Linked DNA regions of Schizosaccharomyces pombe. The gene in region 2 interacts genetically with the main gene of each other region. Each region holds a gene or a part of one and is shown on either strand. Other genes may lie near its edges.

Region 1 (5,358 bases), on a different chromosome or scaffold from region 2:
ATTATCGTTTCGTTTTTTCTGATACGATAATTTAACGGCTATCCTTTTTGATTATCCAAGAGCATCAAAACAGAGGCTTTGCATCCTTTTGTTTGTTCTGTTTTTTTTTTTTTTTTGCTCTTATATTTTTGCAACCGAACTTCAAGGGTTACAAATTTTAACCTGAAGAAGGATTTTCTATTTTGCATCTTCAATCGTTTAATCGGCTGACCTATTTATTCTAAATTCCTTACAAAAATCCTTTTTACCTTGAATGTCACACCTTTAAATATTGAAAAGATTACGGAGTTGTTTTTATTATTATTATTATTATTATCATCATTTTCGTTGTTAATTTTAATCTTTTCCTTCGATATTCTGTTTTTGGCTTTTTTATTTTACCTTTACTTACCTACGCCTATTTTATCCTATTTCACTTAATTTCCCTGTTTCAGGAGGTTTTTTTATTCGAAAATTATTTCAAAGAGTGCGTCTATCCTTTAATCCTTCCACAATGTCGCGAAAAAACCTCATAAAACTTAATCATGATCCTACTGTCACTTACAGTACCAAAGATGATGCTGATGAATTATTTGATGATCTCTCTTCTTCTCCTCTTCATGAAAATGTTAGTTGGATATCTTGGTTCTGCTCAAGACCAGGTCGTGAATACTTTGTCGAGGTGAAGGAAGATTTTATCGAAGATCTTTTCAATTTAACCGGTCTTAATTTGGCTGTCCCTTTCTATAATGAGGCTTTGGACCTAATTCTCGATCGGACAGCTCCTGACACATTGGAGAATTTTGATATGGACGTAATTGAAACGAGTGCTCAAATATTGTATGGTTTGATCCATCAACGTTATATTATTACCCGGACAGGATTACATCAAATGGCGGAAAAATACAGCATGGGTATTTTTGGTTGCTGTCCTCGTGTAAATTGCTGCTATACTCATGTTTTGCCTGCAGGACTTTCTGATATAGTTGGAAAAATGCCTGTAATGTTATTTTGCCCTAATTGTCTTGATTTGTACGCTCCTTCTAGTTCTCGATACAAAAACATAGATGGCTCTTTTTTTGGTGCTACTTTTCCTCATCTGTTTTTTGAAAGCTATCCTGAACTGAATCCTAAGCGCTCAATCCCTTGTGGTAAAATTTATCAGCCTAGAATTTATGGCTTTAAAGTCAGCGAATTAAGTAAAACAGGACCTCGAATGCAATGGCTTCGTATGTACTTGGAAGATAGTGGTAGCGATTCGGAGTCTGAAAGTGATTAAAAACGATGCTTCATCTTATTTATGCCATAACCTAATGGTTCGTTCCTCTAAGCCTTAATAATACTTTTATTCCTATAAAATATCCTTGAAGTTTCTTTTCCGTCAAATTCAATTATCTAGTTGATGTCTCATTGCTTTGCATATAAGAAAAAACAGAATTTGGTATTTTTTAATATAATGTCCGCGAGGCATTTGAATTAGTAAATTCACACTAAAGAGCTTGATGAACTTCCAAAGGATTTAATATTGGTTACCTTTAAAAGTTGGGTAAAAAAAAGTTCCTTATTTCTTGTTGATTGATAATATACTTTGTTCATCAATTGAAGTAGCAGACTAATCATACATGTAAATTAATACAAGACCAAAAAATAAGGGTGCGCAAGTGTAACCAAAGGTGTGCTTCCTCAATGAATCCGATAATTCTTAACCATTGCATACATACCTTACAACTTAAATACATTTAATTGACAATAATGAAAAAAATTAAATAAAAAAACAAACAAACAAAACTGCTTTTGTATTAGAGAGAAAAATAGATGTTAAGAGAAATCGAAGTTTAGCTAAATACATTTTACATCTTCTTTGCGCGTCTTCTCATTTTGCGTTGACGTTCCCTCTCCATGCGCTTTTTTTGATCAGACTCAGAAAGCTTAGAAATATCGCCAGAGGATTTAACTTTTTTCTTGGCGGCCTTAGCGGCTGAAGCATGAACAACTTGCTCAAAGGCGAGTTTACGGGCAGAGGTAAGTTTCTTCGAAACTTCTGGTCGCCATTGGAATTTTGGACAACTATCAGCTACCAGCAACAAGGAATTAAACAATGCACTTCCCGTAGCATTGCTCAAACCAGAAAGGGATGTGATTTTTTTAATTCTGATTGAAGCTTCGATACGAGGCTTCGTAACATAATCCTTTTCGGTAGCAGGAGGGACTGAAGGTTGATCAGTAACGATGAAATACTCAAGGTTTTCAATACACTCGTTAATTGAAGACATAAACTCGGGAATTTCGAAAATAGCTTGACTACACTCATTGTTCTCAGACATTAAAACATGAGTTTCCGGTAAGTAAGGAGAGGAAGAAATGCGGGTAAAGCTTAAGTCGTAACGTATTTCACGAAGAATGCGCATACAGTCTTTATGAACAATGGCGAAAACAAAACGCTCAGCCTTCAAGTTCTGGTCTGCAAGAGTTAAATCGAATTGAAAACGGTCAGCAACAGGTAAAACAGAAGACATAACGTTTCCCAGGAGGATTTCAACGATTTGATTAAGAGAGTAGGCTAACAAATCTTGACGAGGAAAAAGCTGAAGTGTTGTATACACATTCTTCACGTTGAGACGTCCAGTAAGATAGGAGCTAAACTCGGTAGGAGAGTCATAAATGATTGGAGAACTGTTAGGACCTGGTCCATATTGTGCAAACTGTTGGCGAAAGCTAGACTGTAAGGAACCATACCAGCGAGAAGCGATTTTTTGGTTTTTCTTCTTTTGCGTGATAAAAGAAAAAACATAAAGGAAAAAACAAGCAAGAATAACAAATTCAAGACGGAAATCTCTCCAATCGACATGCTTGAACATTCCTGGATTCTCCAACTCGGGATTCATATTGTAATCCTCTTCGTATTCATCTTCCTCATCAGCCAGTACTCCTTTAGCTAGTGCAAAAACTAGAAACAAAAGCTTTTTATTAATCATGGTTCCTCCGCTTGTAAATTTACTGACTTTCGTGAAAGAAAAAAGGGCACTGGTTGTACGAAGTGAGATTGAACGTGGTGAAATAAGTAACGAACGAGACAAGCCGGTTCCTAGAGTGGGAAGATTAACTAGTGTATATAGATAGTTTAAAATAAGTCGGTAACCAGAACATGTCGCGATGGTGTAGTTGGGAGCATGACAGACTGAAGATCTGTTGGTCATCGGTTCGATCCCGGTTCGTGACACTTTTTTTGACGTGGAGAAAACACTTTGTACTAGTTATATCCAACATAATTTTGAGGTTTTTTCTTTTTACTTATTTTTATTTTTCTAGTTGCTATATGTGAAGCAAAATTAGATAGCTAACGGATGCTCAAGAATATTGTACTGGCACTTCAGCTTGTTATTGCAAAAGTTACAAAAACAGTCTGCAAAGACAAACAAGCATAGAAGCTCAGTTGGTCTAAATGTATATTACTAGATCGGTTCTGTAATTATTGGTGTTTTATTAGCAATGAATGGTGCTTTCAACTGAATATATCCGACAGAGAAACTATATGGCGTTACAATTTTCAAAGGTAGTAGTTTATCTATTTGGTAAATGATAGTTGTACGAACTGCTACGCATTTACTCAAAATCTTAGTTACATTCATGCGTTCTATATAAAAGAAAGTCATTTTGTACTTGCTTGTTTACGTATACGATCGGTTAATCTCAACAAAGCAAATAAAAGGAAGCTAGTCACCCTGTTGTACTTTATACCTAGGACATATTTTTTTTTTCAAACATGTAACATACCGTTACTGAAGAATGTCATAAGCTTAACGCTAGCTAAATTAAGCTTGTATCAAAGTTGCGAGGGATATTGAGATCTATCGTTATTAGATCATTATAGATAAAAAGATATAAATGAGAAATCCTCCATACCTCAACAATAATTGTTTATTGGTAAAAAAATATTATTCCTATCCACTTTTTGGTTAAGCAGAAAATCTGGCAGAATTTTGTACATGCCGCTTTGCCTATCATTGGCTGCTAAATAAATTCCTTGAGCTCGTTTGTTCGATTATTTACTACTACCACACGATACCCTAACGTGAGATTTTCTCTACTAGCGATATCAAAACTTTCGCAAACTTTTTCCAACTCCCCTCAACACACGATTTTTATTATATAGATTTATTTATCAAGATGTCGGTGAAATACTTTGAACCTGAGGAGATTGTGGAGCACAATAATTCCAAAGACATGTACATGGTCATTAATGGAAAAGTTTACGACGTTAGTAACTTTGCTGATGATCATCCTGGAGGCTTAGATATAATGTTGGACTATGCAGGTAAATAATTCGACAAAACTTTTGTAGAAGTAAACACCATATTATGTTGGAGACTGCTATGCTCAAAAGCGATAGTATACTTTTAATCGCTATCGTTTCATTCATCAGTTCTTCACTTGTGTGCCTTCTTGATTAAAACATTGTATACGGCTTTTTAAACATGTCCACTAACTATTTGTTTTAGGCCAGGACGCCACTAAGGCCTATCAGGACATTGGACACTCTATTGCTGCAGATGAGTTACTAGAAGAGATGTATATTGGTGATTTAAAACCCGGAACTGAGGAGAGACTCAAAGAATTAAAGAAACCTCGTTCATTTGATAATGATACGCCTCCGTAAGAAAATGATTTGTGTACGATGGTTGTTTCATGCTAACAGAACAGATTGCCTCTATTAATCGCATTAATTGTCCTGCCAGCCATAGCAGTAATTGTGTTTGTTAAGCTTAACAAATAAACTTCGAAGGCTTGCCTATTTATTTTCCTAATCTTTATACCTTCTTTTGTTTTTCGCGATGTTAGTATCACTCAATATTATTATGGATAGCAATTGTTTTCAAGGCTTCTAAAGAAACAAAATAAACGTTAACTTAGAAAAATATATTTCTTAAATGTCTTCCTTCAGTAAGAGAGCTCTTAAAAACAATGAGTTCAGCTCGTAACATGTAATTAACTCATGGAGATATTAAACAAACCAAAAAAGTATAACAAAAAGATTTAGCTAATAGTAAAGAGGGAAGTATGTAATCAGAAGTGGAATATAACTAATGGAAAAATTAGTTCTATTGGGCTTATGAAGGACTTCCAGTAATATTCGGTTGGACTTTAGATAAATTGATTACCATCTTTCCTTTGATTTCTTTATCACTCAGCTTAATGTTGTTAATATCATCAATCAAAACACCTAGTTTCCTTATTATAAACTCGGTTTCCTGCTCGGTAGGTTTAGCAACATCGTATTTTGGATCTAAATTCAATGAGTCGATTTGATCTAATACCTCCCTATCGCAATCATTATGTTAATATAGTTTCTACTGTATAAAAAGAATTTATCAAAAGCTT
Region 2 (6,515 bases):
CTTCCATTCCCCTCTGTCGAAAGAATTGTCTCAGCCAGAGATTGGATGCAACAAGTTGAGAAACTGTACTATGAACCCGGTACCAGGTCTGTAGATCAATCCGCAGTATCCTATATGTTAGAACAATGGGTCAAAGATCCTACGCTGACACCCAAGTTTCTTCACACATCCTATCGTGCAGTGCAAACAGATAATGATAATCCCTTATTGCTGGCCAATAAGTGGTAAAAATAATTAAAAGAAGGAAAATTTATGGGTTTTTTATAATTGTTTATTGGGAATTTAATAGGTTTTGGCTATTTTGGGGAAATAAAAATTTGAAATTAATTGATTAGTGAAGAAGTTATACGCGAATCTTTAGTTGGCTAATATGTGATTCTTCATACATGCTTGATAGGATCCTAGAAGTACTTTACTTCTGAATATTTCATGTGAATTCATTTCTCATTGTATTTTTTAGATTCGCAAGATTTCAATTCATTACCGATATCCGGTATATTATCAAATAATTTACATAACAATAATGATAACTCCATTATCATCCTACACATTTAAAGAATACACTGGTAAAAACAATCATTTCCTCTCAATAGTACTTTTGAATGTGTTTTAAAAATCTAAGTGTATCCATTTCGTAAATAGAGAGTTTCACTTTGAATATTATTTCTATTTTCTTTTAGGGATTTCTAGTTGAAAAAAAAAAGCGCTTCATATAATTTTAATCAATGAAGAAGATAAATTGTTTTAAATACGAAATCTCATACAACTTCATCCTTCAGTAAATTTTTTACCAAAGTTGCTCTTGGTCGCACATCTTTAAAGGTAGCCTCAGCTATAAGACCATAAACAAAAAATCTATAGAGGCATTGTAAAGAGATAAGCAACTTCGAAGTTTTATACACCAAACACAAGTAGTTATCAGAGTTTTCCATTTAGTTTAATTTAATTTGGCTAACTATATATTACACTTAGGGAGTATTCAGCTGTGCGACAAATTTCCACAATTACGCATATCTAGTTTATCACTCCTTAAGTTGGTATTTGTGATTTTGGACGAGTTGTTGCTTAACTTGTATTGCGAAACTTACTATAATACAGTATTCGTTGACCTTAATACCTCAACTGCCTTTGCTACGCTAAGGATTCATCACATACCGATGACACTTCAGTAGTTCTTTAAATTTATTTAAGACGTACAAGCCAGTGCATAATCTAGGTTTACAAAACTCTTTGTTATAGCTCCTTAGACACGGGAACTAAGCAAAGGAGGTATACAGTCTGGATACACGGGAACTCTTAAACAAAGTGTAAAATAATGTATCTCTTAATAACTCTGTCGAAATGGTTATATATCACATTGTGAGCTTGTTACAATACCTTATAGCTTTGCATTTAGTTCAGTGCAGTTTCTTATGTTTGTGTTTTGGGTTTGTAAAGTATGATAAAACGAGAGAGATATTTTGACAAACTGATGAAATTCAAGATCTACTGTATCAGCTTATAACTGGAATAGAAAGAAAGAATATAAAGGCTACAATGTAGCCATGTGCGGTCAACGTTTAGACTGCCGATCTTATGACCTAACTAAAGCGATCGCTATTCAGATCCATTTCTGCTTGTAGGGATGAGACTTTGTAGAATAGCAAATCTGTAAATTAACAAATCTTCAAATTTTGTTGCATCAAGCAATAACTTCTACTCTATCTGTTTCTATCAATGGTTTTTCATATCTCGAATTGAAATATTTCCAATGTGAATCAACTAAAAACATCGCACCCCATTACCTTATTGAATATTCGAATTTGGGGATTTCCTAGAAGAGTTGGACATTAAATGACGTTAATAGAAGTAAAAAAAAAATAGAAAGTCGTTTCATCATGGACTTGTCGATGATTTGCATTACCAGACAATTTTACATCCGTGAGTTCGCAGCAATCGGGTTGGTATCCGTTTATAAATTTAGCCGTTGATATTCATCCCGTCATTTAAAGCTGAGCCTAGGTTGATCTAAATATTCCATTATAGAATCGCTGAAATATTTATTGAATAGGGCATAAATGGTACCCATGAATGCTAATGATAACTAGGCAATCCAACTCCAACTGGCATCTAAAGACTTAGTAATATGACCACCATTTCATAATCTCACGGTGCTACATATAGAAAATCGTTAACATCATAGATGGCATCTTCGGAGTTCCTTCTAGTCCACGCCGAATTGCGGATCAAGGTAAGCAGATCATGAGAAACGTGGGTCATGCGAAAAGTGAGTCTACAAGTGAGTTCATCCTCAAAAGCCTATATATATTATATATATAGCACTTGGGAATAAATGAATAAAGGTTGCAACTTTAGTGATTGAATCGGTAAATCCCGTTAAAACAAACAATCAGTGATTCATCCTTCTTTAGTGTGATCTGTGTAGGTAAGCAAGCAATTTACAAATGCCTAGAAAGTTGGCAAGGCCGGTTTGTGTTTGGCAAGGAAATGAGCAAAAACGTCTGTCTATTCCTAAAACGGACGGTGGGTAAGCAAAATCCCAACTTGAAAATTTGAATTGGGATTTTTTTATTTCAATGGAAAAAGATAGGTTAAATCATAAAAAAGAACATGATATTATTTTCTTGGAAATATGTCGAAATCCTGTCTCATCCCAACCTTTTCGACAAAACTAGGTGTCCTGATGGAAATATAGTTTAAGCTCATCGCTTGCCGAACCGCTCCATCAAATGCTTAATTTGCTTTTATTGACATTGTAGCTCGACGGACTCTCTAGATATCTAAATATTTTTCGTTGAACTTACTAGATTGGGAATTGACAATTGAAAGCTCTTTAATTGATTACTTTCATTGTCTTGATTTTTTTCATTCTCAGAAAATTTCAAAAAATTCAGACTTTAGAAACTCGCTGTTTGTTAATCACTCTCTTGCTTTTTTTGGATTCAGAGAAAATTGAAAAATTCGAACTTTTTTTAAAAACGAATCATTGACCGTATTCTATCCTTTTATCCTTTATTAAACCAACCTTGCTTTTTTAATTTTTATTTTATTTTTTTTTAAACATGAAATTATCTTCCTTTGGATTATTTCTCGCTCTCCAGCTTTTGCCGGCCTTGGGCCTTCCTTCTCGTATCGATGAAGTAGACGTTTCAGACCCAGAACTAATCGGATTATTGAAACCCGATAACGTTGATAAGCCAGCAAACTCTATACCCCTTTCCAAGCGTAGCACAAGCCCATCGTATGCGCCTTATACTGTTGCTTGCCCTAGTGGCTCTCTGCTTCGACCTGCCTCCGATGGCCTTAGTACTGGTGAACAAGAATTTGTTGACAAACGTGTCTCAAAGGTTAACAGTGCATTGGAAAGCTTTATTTCAAAAACCGGCTTAAAAATCGATACAAAAAGTGTGCTGAATGACACAGATGGCCCTCGTTTGGGAATTGCAATCTCTGGCGGTGGATTTCCTGCCATGTTAACGGGAGCCGGCGCTATTAATGCATTTGATGCTAGAAATGGTAACACTACGTCTCTTGGTGGTATTCTTCAATCTTCCATGTACCTTACTGGTCTTTCTGGTGGCTCTTGGCTTGTGGGATCTGTTGCGGTTAACAACTTTGCCAATATTACTTTCTTGCACGACGACGTTTGGAACCTGGACCACAGTCTCTTCGCTCCCTATGACGACGCTTTTGAGAACTTTTATATTTACCAAGAGTGGTTTGAGCAAGTTCTGCAAAAGAAGAATGCTGGATTCAATGTCTCCATTACTGACCTTTGGGGCCGTGCTTTGGCTCTTAAGCTTGTCAATCCTTTGACTGGAGGTGCTAATACTACATTCTCTAGTGTAACAAATGAAACGTGGTTCCAGGATGGTGAATTTCCCTTTCCCATCATCATTGCTGATAATGTCATAGAGGGTGAAACCGTAATCCCTTTGAACGACACTGTCTTTGAATTTACACCCATCGAATTTGGTACTTGGGACACTGGGGTGGAATCATTTATACCCATGGAGTATACAGGTACACACCTTATTAATGGCATTCCTCTTAATGAATCCTGTGTGCGTAATTTCGACAACGCTGGTTTCCTCATGGGTACCTCTTCAAATGTTTTTAGCGGTATCCTTCCTGCGACAAATGCATCACTCACCGCTAGTAATAATACCTTTAACAATGCTGTCCTTAGTTTCCTCGAAATGCTTGCCGAAGATCAATTGGATGTAGGTCTTTATCCCAACCCTTACCAAGGTTATGGAAATGCTTCCAATACAACCACTACCAATCCCTTGGAGCCGTATCCCATTATTGAATTAATAGACGGTGGCTCAGATAGTGAAGGTATTCCCTTTTGGCCCTTGCTTCATCCACAAAGAGACGTAGATGTTATTTTTGCGATTGACGGGGGTTATCAAAGCGCAACGAGTGGATGGCCAGATGGATCGTCCCTAGTTTCTACATATGAAAGAGTTTTAGCCACTAACTCCTCTGGCGTTCGTGGTTTCCCATATATTCCTGATACCAACACATTTTTGGCTCTTGGTTTGAACACTCATCCAACTTTCTTCGGTTGCGACGGTAGAAACACCACAGCCGGAAACCATACCGTTAATGACGATACTCCTCCTCTTGTAGTTTACTTCCCCAACTATCCTTGGACTATGTATGCAAATGTCACTACCTACACTGTTCAACTGGAAGATACTTTGTCCAGTGGAATGATTGAAAATGCCGCTGTTGCTGCTACCCAAAATAACAGTGATTCATTTGCTGTCTGCGTTGCATGCGCTCTCGTTCAACGTTCCTTGGAACGCAAAAACATGTCGACTCCAAGTCAATGTGCTTCTTGCTTTAATCAATACTGTTGGAATGGAACAATTGCAAGCACGACCGTTACTACATATGCACCTACAGTTCTGTCAGCCAAGATTTAGTATGCAACGCTCACGACAATCCATTTTGTTCGATCTTTTCCATGGTAGCATAGAGCGTAAAGCATTGAAACACTAATGTTCATATATTCACTAATCTAAGAACCAGCAAAAGTCGGCTCTTTACTTATTGCTCATAAACAACGAGAAGGAAGATATAGTGAATAAATATAGGAATGAAAAAAGCTTCAAGAAGCCATTAACACCATCGAATTTGAATTCCTAAGCTCTAAATGACACTAATTTATGTAACCTTTGCAGAAATGTTTCAACTCAAATACTGTGTCAGCAGTAGTCCAGCACGCTACGATATACTACGTTGCGTAGCACTATATGTCATGCTAAAATATACATAACATTAGTTTATTGATGATTGTAGCTGTTTGTCCATCTATCTACACAAGTTACACATTGGTAGCAACTAGAGAAAAATATAAATAGAGCTACCACTGAACCTCATTCCTCAGTTCAGTTATTGGCTATATCGGTGACCGATACTACTAGACTTTTTATAACAATAAATATAATATTATTAGTTAACAAAGCGCATACCGCTATGTTGTAAATCCCTAGAAATCTCGCCGCAGTGCTATATATCGTTAAACCAGATACCAAACTGCGTAGCTGACATTATAATTATACTACAACGTTTGCTTCTCAAAAACGTTTTAAGGAAAGCTAAGTTAGGGTAAATAAAAAGGGCAGTGACAAAATAAATGTGTCAGAAGCAATTGCATTTTGAAAATGAGTTTTCGAATTTTAACTTTTACCTACTATTATTAAAGAGAGAAGTCTTCTTTGAAAGAAATTGCTCGTTTTTTATGTTGAACGGCTGAAATTGGGCTCCAGAGTGAAAATTCTTGATTTCGCTGTTTCGTTTGTCGCAATTATAGCAATTAATTCGCGCATGTATTTTATTAAATAAAGAATGATCTTGAAAAAATGAAGAATAATTACACTTCCTTGAAAAGTCCTATAGATGAAGGAGATGAATCGAAGACAGGACATGAAATCGATTTGGAAAAAGGGCTACTTCCAGAATATGATTCAGAGGAAGAGGGCGCACTGCCTCCATACTCGGGTAAGAATTGTAAATAATAAGAAAGGAATTACTCAATTGAAATTGAAGCTTGCCATCGTAGTCAAATTGCATGCTTTGGTCATTGTTTACAGTTGGCCATGCAATGCACACATTTTAATACATGTTCTTTCTTTACTAAAGTCTTTCAATCATATTAATTTAAACAGATCACGCACGTGTAAGCAATTCTCCTAACACACATAGAGAAAACAATCCTTCCAGGTCGACAGATAATTCTTCCCCTTTCTTGATAAAACTGCTAATATCATTCACACCAATCTATGTACTGAATGTACTCGCAATTTGTTATCTAAAGTATAAGGACGCTTTCTTTAAAAATTATGGTGCAGCGGAATGGACATTATTTGGATTTTGGTGTCTTGTTTGCACTTTGGCTTTAATATTCTTGACTTGTAAGTGAGACAATGGGGTTATTCTTACCTTCAGTCACTAACTCATTAGACTTCTATGAAACTTGGACCAAGGCAGTTAAAGTAACTGCG
Region 3 (6,017 bases), on a different chromosome or scaffold from region 2:
TCAATTTGCAAACTAGATGGCAGCTCATTGTTCTGTGAATAATCAGATTAAGGTACTGAACAACGGAATATGGATTGCAATGTTCTTTGAAGATCTAGAAGGGGAAACCATTTTTGTTAGTTAAAAGTTTTATTTTTTTGTTTTAAGTTACTAGTTATTGTCTTTATTTTCTTATTTTCCTTTCTCTGTGCACTAATATTAAATGATTTTACTCTTACTATTTACCAATTCTCTTGAGCAGATGAAGAGAGGAATATTTTAAAAAATTAGTGTAATCCACGATAACGTACAATTTGCTTTTTCAGAAATCACACACGATTTCGTTAGTAAGTTTAGCCGAACTTTAGAGTTGTGCCTTATACAGATATCTAGAGATCATTTCTGTATAGCGAGCGACCTTTAGTACGACACACTTAGCAAAGTCAATGACGTTTCAGTCAAACAAGTGACTTATATAGGATTCATACGTGCATCCCATTTCATCGTTTGCCAACATGTCCCTCGCTTGGAAAAATGAGTTATTGAAGCTTTTAAAAGAAAATGTCGACTCCAGTGGAGTTATTCATCCCGAATACTTCCAGCTGGCAACTTTACCCACTGGTAATGAAATTTACCCCAGAAATCGTACTGTAGCTATTCGAGGATTTGTCGGTACAGGATGGCATAAACCACGTCCCGATGATGTGCTAGCTACAGATTTATTGGTATTCTCTACGGATATTGCTTCTCACAAAGCTGCTGAGATTGCTGAGCAGCAAAAAAATACATTCCCCTCTGGACCCATACCGAACGCATTTGAAATGTGTGGATGGTTACCAAAGACAATGCAGCAAATTCGTATTTCCGGTCAAATTTGGTTATACACACCAGAACTTGCCGACCGAAATGAATTTCCCGCAGACAAGTTGATCCAGGATCATTTAATAAACAGCAATGGCCGCATTCCCGAAGAATGGTCTTGGGAAGAGGAAAGAAGACGTATTTGGGAGTTACATAGTCCTGAACTTCGCGCTTCCTTTTCTACTCCTCCTTCATACTCCAAATACCAAGGCGATGTGAAGGTGTCACCTTTACCTTCTACCCTCACTGGAAAAGAAGATCCCGGGGTTATTGAAGCTTGGAAGACTGCTTGGGGTAGATTTTCTCTTGTTGTTTGTGAGGCTAACGAAGTCGAGTTTTTGAATCTTACCCCTCCTCCAGGAAAGCGCGTTTTGCACAATAGAGATCTAAACACGAAACAATGGTCCTCCACTCGTGTCAATGTCTAAATGTTTTCCTTTTTTTTCGCACATCCTTTATGAATTGATTGCTCTTGATAAACGTGCAATACTTATGAACTACGAATATTAACTTATAATGATTACTCCTAACATTTTGGTTCTTTTTTTTTGTGGAGTATATGAAAAAGGTCTGATTCCCTCAAATTTGCCTAGCTTACAATTCGGTGGGTTTTGTAGTTGAATTTTTTTTTAGTACTGAAGCATAATACTGAGTACAAACTACAAACTCAGTGTATTCCGAATTTTCTAATGTTTATTTACGTTGTTAAACAACTAAATTATCACTTATCCTATGTCAAATTTCCAATCCGGCCACTTGATGAACTATTTACGTTTATAATAAATAAAAAATTATGAAAATTGTGTGTATTAAAGTACTTACAGGAAGACATTGTAAAAAATTGTTGCGAGATTAAGCAAATAGGCCAACCTACCTGCTAATGATGATCATTTATTAAAAGATCTTACCTGTATAATATTATATTAAGGTTATTACTATATGGCTTGTTTTATTATCTTATATTGTCTTACGCAGGTAGAAATGTAGCAAAAAAAAGGGAATAAAGCACCACATAAGAAACACAATGTCTTATTTGAAGGGACGGTGAATTGCCAAGTCATTTAATTTTATCGAATCAGTATTCATAGAACCGTAAAGGTCCCCGTTGAGTTAAGTGGCATTATTGAATACATGTGTGGATCTTAACTTATTAACGATACAAATTTAAAACCTGTTAACGTATTCCTTACTATACATTAAATACTTTAAGGAATTTTACCAAATTGGCTTATACATTGGATTATTAGTACTCGGTTACATAAGGGATTAGCAATTTCAAATACAGGATTGCTCATCCATCATTTTTTAAGCATTGCTGTTATTTAAGCTCATCTAGATCAGAACTTCTTTTTCTCTCTAAAGTATAGAACACTTGGTTTACAGAGTGACATACACTTCAGTTTGTCAGTTTATTGAGAAATAGGGACGGTATTGCTAGCTACTGGAACCAAACCCACCTTTACTTTGCTTTAGTCTTTTCTTGTTTTCTTCTGTCTTTCTTTTGCATTGAGCTTTTCATCGCTTTTGTTTGGTGAACAATATTATTCAATTTAGAGGTACATATTAATTTGTAATAACAATGTCTATAAGCTTTTCGGAATTGGTAGCTAAGACATTGTTGGACTTAGAGGTTAAAGTTGTTTTTGGCATTGTTGGCATTCCCGTAATCGAAATTTGTGAGGCTATCCAAGCAAGTGGAATTCGGTTTGTCGGGTTTCGCAATGAGCAAAGCGCAGCTTATGCAGCGACTGCCTATGGCTATTTAACTCAGCGCCCTGGGGTCTGTGTCGTGGTAGGCGGTCCTGGCGTTGTACATGCCATGGCCGGTGTTTTCAATTCTAAAACCAATCGATGGCCTTTGCTGCTTTTGGCTGGATCCAGTGAAACATTTCAGCAAAACTGTGGGGCCTTCCAAGAATTGGACCAGGTTTCTTACTTATCACCTCATACGAAATTAGCCGTGCGCCCCCCAAGTCCCAAAATGGTTGTTGATTCCATTCGAAGAGCGTATCGTGTCTCCATGACCGGCACTCCTGGAACATGCTATGTTGACTTGCCAGCAAATTATATTGAATCTACTGTCGATGACTTTCCTAAAGACCCTCTACCCCCAATTCCTAGTTCTCCCAAATGTGCACCTGATCCAACACAGCTTCAGAAGGCTGCATACTATTTAAAAAATGCAAAGGCACCTCTGCTTGTCGTTGGTAAAGGTGCCGCATATGCCTGCGCTGAAAAACAGCTCTTGGAATTTGTTGAACATACTGGCATTCCGTTTCTTCCGAGTCCCATGGGCAAAGGTTTGTTACCAGAATCGCATCCCTTAAATGTGTCTTCGGCAAGGTCAGCTGCTCTTCGTAATGCAGATGTAGTGCTCTTAGCAGGGGCACGTTTAAATTGGATATTTCAATATGGTCTTCCACCAAAGTGGTCTCCTAATGCCAAATTTATTCAAATTGATACCAATGCTGAAACTTTAGGAAACAATGCTGCAGATTTGGATTTAGCAATTTGGGCTGATGTAGGTCTGACAATAGATTGTCTTTTTAAGCTCGTTCAAACTTGGAAGTACAGTGTTGGCATCTCGACCCCTTACCTTCGCACGTTAAATGAAACCCGATCCAAGAATGAGAAAAAGGCTCTTGAATCTCGAAAGTCCAGTATACCGTTGCAAATGAATTATGCTTTGTATGTCGTGAATGAGGAGCTACAAAGCTTATCGCTCAAATCAAAGCGTAATATCACTTGGGTTTCTGAAGGCGCCAATACAATGGACCGGGGCCGTCAGCTTTTAGAAGTAACTCATCCACGTGGTCGACTGGATGCAGGCACTATGTCAACAATGGGAGTTGGTATGGGATATGCTATTGCCAGCGCATTTGCCCATTCATCCGACAAAATAGTGGTAGTTGAGGGTGATAGTGCTTTTGGCTTTAGCGCCATGGAACTGGAAACCGCCATACGCAACCAGCTGGATCTTTTGGTAATTGTAATCAATAATAATGGTGTTTACCATGGATTAGATACTGATGCTTATGAAACTTTACGTGATAATCACCAATTACCGACTACTGCCTTAGGCACTAGTATACGTTATGATCAAATTTGCGAAGCATGTGGTGGTAAAGGTTTCTTTGTAAAGAATGAAGAAGATTTGAGAAGTTCCCTCAGGAAAGCATGGCAAACCTCATCTGTATCTCTCATAAATGTTATGGTGGACCCGGAGGCTGCTCGAAAATTGGTAAGTATTAATGGAATGAATTAGGTATAAGAACAAGCTAACAATCACTAGACATTTGCATGGATGAGCAGTACCAAAGTGAAACCAAAGTTATGACCATCATTTAATTAAAAATAGAAGAAGTGATGTTCTTTTACGATTCTTAAAAATCGGAATACAGTTATTGTTGCTATTCAAATAAAGTCGTTTATTAAAAAAAAGTATTAAATATAATCTAAAGGAAATTAAAAATATTAAAAAATATAAAGATAGTGATAAAACAGCAGAATTAAATAAGCTTAGAGTATGCTTGTTCTATGTCCTTCAGCAACCATTCCTTAGTAGAATTACGATTTCTTCTTAAAGGTAAAGCACCTTCATATGTACCATTATTAGGCTGAGCTGGTAAATCTAATATATGCGAAAGAATGCCATAAATTTCGGTGTTCTGGAACGGTGCAAGCTTCTTTCCCTTAAAATTCTTAAAAGAAGATCCTGAAGCGATAAAAAGTGCTCTCATCACTGGAGACAAATTGTCATAACCATGTACACCCAAAGGCTCATACTCCAACTCCGGTGAATGATCCAGCATCGAGACAAGAGACCATCCAACATCCGGGATCATCCAAACGGGAGCTATTCTTTCATTATTTGAGTAATGCCATCGAGAAGGTATATCTTTCTTTGAATAAACATTCCAATTCTCAGCAGAAGGTAATGACGAGCGAGAATAATTAACAAGACTTTCGTAAATGTACTCATCATCTAAATCAGATTCTCCTCTAAAACCTCCTAACGGCCAAGCATCTCTGTGTGCAACGGCAGACAAATTAAACATATTATCCAGCCAGATAAGACGATTATCGGATGTAGGCGCCATTCCATGATCACTTAAAAAAATAATGTTGACATGCTTATCGATATTTCTTTTCTTCAGTCCTTCAATTAGTTCACCAATTACGATATCAACTTCTTGAATTATGATATTCAGTTCAGGCGAATCCGGTCCAAATGCGTGCCCAACCATATCTACATGGGGAGCATAAGCAAGTAATAACTGAGGGCGGTCTTTATCAGGAAGATCCAGCCATTCGAGTATTCTATCTTTCTTTTCTCTTAGAGTCGTATCAAAATTGAAACCATCCGAATAAGTAGGTCTGTAACCATGATTCTCCACTTCATTTCCAGGCCACATATGTACCGCTGATCGAACGTTATTTCGCTCAGCGTTGACCCATATAGGCTCCCCTTTATCCCACCAAGTTGGGTCTTTGTTACATTCAGGCATACTGTTGACAAATTGCTTCCCAGTTACAGGATCAAAAAAGTTGTTACTAACGATTCCATGGCTCTCGGGATATAAACCGGTAACAATAGTATAGTGATTAGGGAAAGTTATACTAGGAAAAGAAGGAATCAAAAAGGGAACATGGACATTACGTTCAGCCAGGCTCAGAAGATTAGGTGTGAACCCACGATATAAGTAATCAGCACGGAATCCATCCAAGGAGATTACGATGACAGTGGACTGAAAAACATTGGTCCCATTGTTGAAGGAACCTCCAACGATAGGAAAAATAATTGCTTTGAAGCAAAATAATTTCACAATTGCCAATATCAGAATTCCTAAAATGCAAATAGCGGCAATTGCTAGTCCCGATCGTTTTGCCCATTGATTCAAATAAGCCTTTCGATCATTTTTCAAAGGCAAATACTCGTTGGACCCAATATTAGCCCAACTAAACATTTCGGCGAATGTTCAAAATCAATGATATAAAGGAGTATTGTTAGGTATATCATATAATCTGTCAAATAATACTTACTTGAATAACGATGCGAAAAATATTGTTAAAATCATTTAACGCTTTCAAAGATATGCGGTAAACACTTTGTTCTAACTTACTTCAATTCGTAAACTATTCAGTCCTCTTAAATGTTCTGTCGTATAGGAAATGTC

What was found. Genes that interact genetically often act in the same process or in processes that back each other up.
Region 1: mutations in plb5 (region 2) and SPOM_SPBC2G5.01 together harm fitness less than expected from each alone (positive genetic interaction), as found in Schizosaccharomyces pombe (one large-scale study listed by BioGRID).
Region 3: mutations in plb5 (region 2) and hac1 together harm fitness less than expected from each alone (positive genetic interaction), as found in Schizosaccharomyces pombe (one large-scale study listed by BioGRID).

The regions. Positions count from the first base shown.
Region 1 is NC_003423.3:2,574,217-2,579,574, reverse strand, and holds SPOM_SPBC2G5.01 (Ca(2+) binding protein), read right to left. Parts: upstream 3,014-5,358; 5' UTR 2,955-3,013; coding exon 1,830-2,954; 3' UTR 1,707-1,829; downstream 1-1,706. Other genes in the region: ckb2 (CK2 family regulatory subunit protein), read left to right, coding at 494-1,258; cyb502 (cytochrome b5), read left to right, coding at 4,147-4,294, 4,479-4,632, 4,681-4,753; Ragulator-Rag complex subunit Lam1, read right to left, coding at 5,088-5,298.
Region 2 is NC_003421.2:1,740,007-1,746,521, reverse strand, and holds plb5 (phospholipase Plb5), read left to right. Parts: upstream 1-3,062; coding exon 3,063-4,934; 3' UTR 4,935-5,320; downstream 5,321-6,515. Other genes in the region: nar1 (iron hydrogenase), read left to right, coding at 1-228; wtf antidote-like meiotic drive suppressor Wtf16, read left to right, coding at 5,874-6,012, 6,180-6,425, 6,475-6,515.
Region 3 is NC_003423.3:1,206,546-1,212,562, forward strand, and holds hac1 (2-hydroxyacyl-CoA lyase Hac1), read left to right. Parts: upstream 1-2,129; 5' UTR 2,130-2,419; coding exon 2,420-4,081; intron 4,082-4,132; coding exon 4,133-4,177; 3' UTR 4,178-4,311; downstream 4,312-6,017. Other genes in the region: SPOM_SPBC725.03 (pyridoxamine 5'-phosphate oxidase), read left to right, coding at 495-1,268; npp1 (nucleotide pyrophosphatase), read right to left, coding at 4,350-5,807.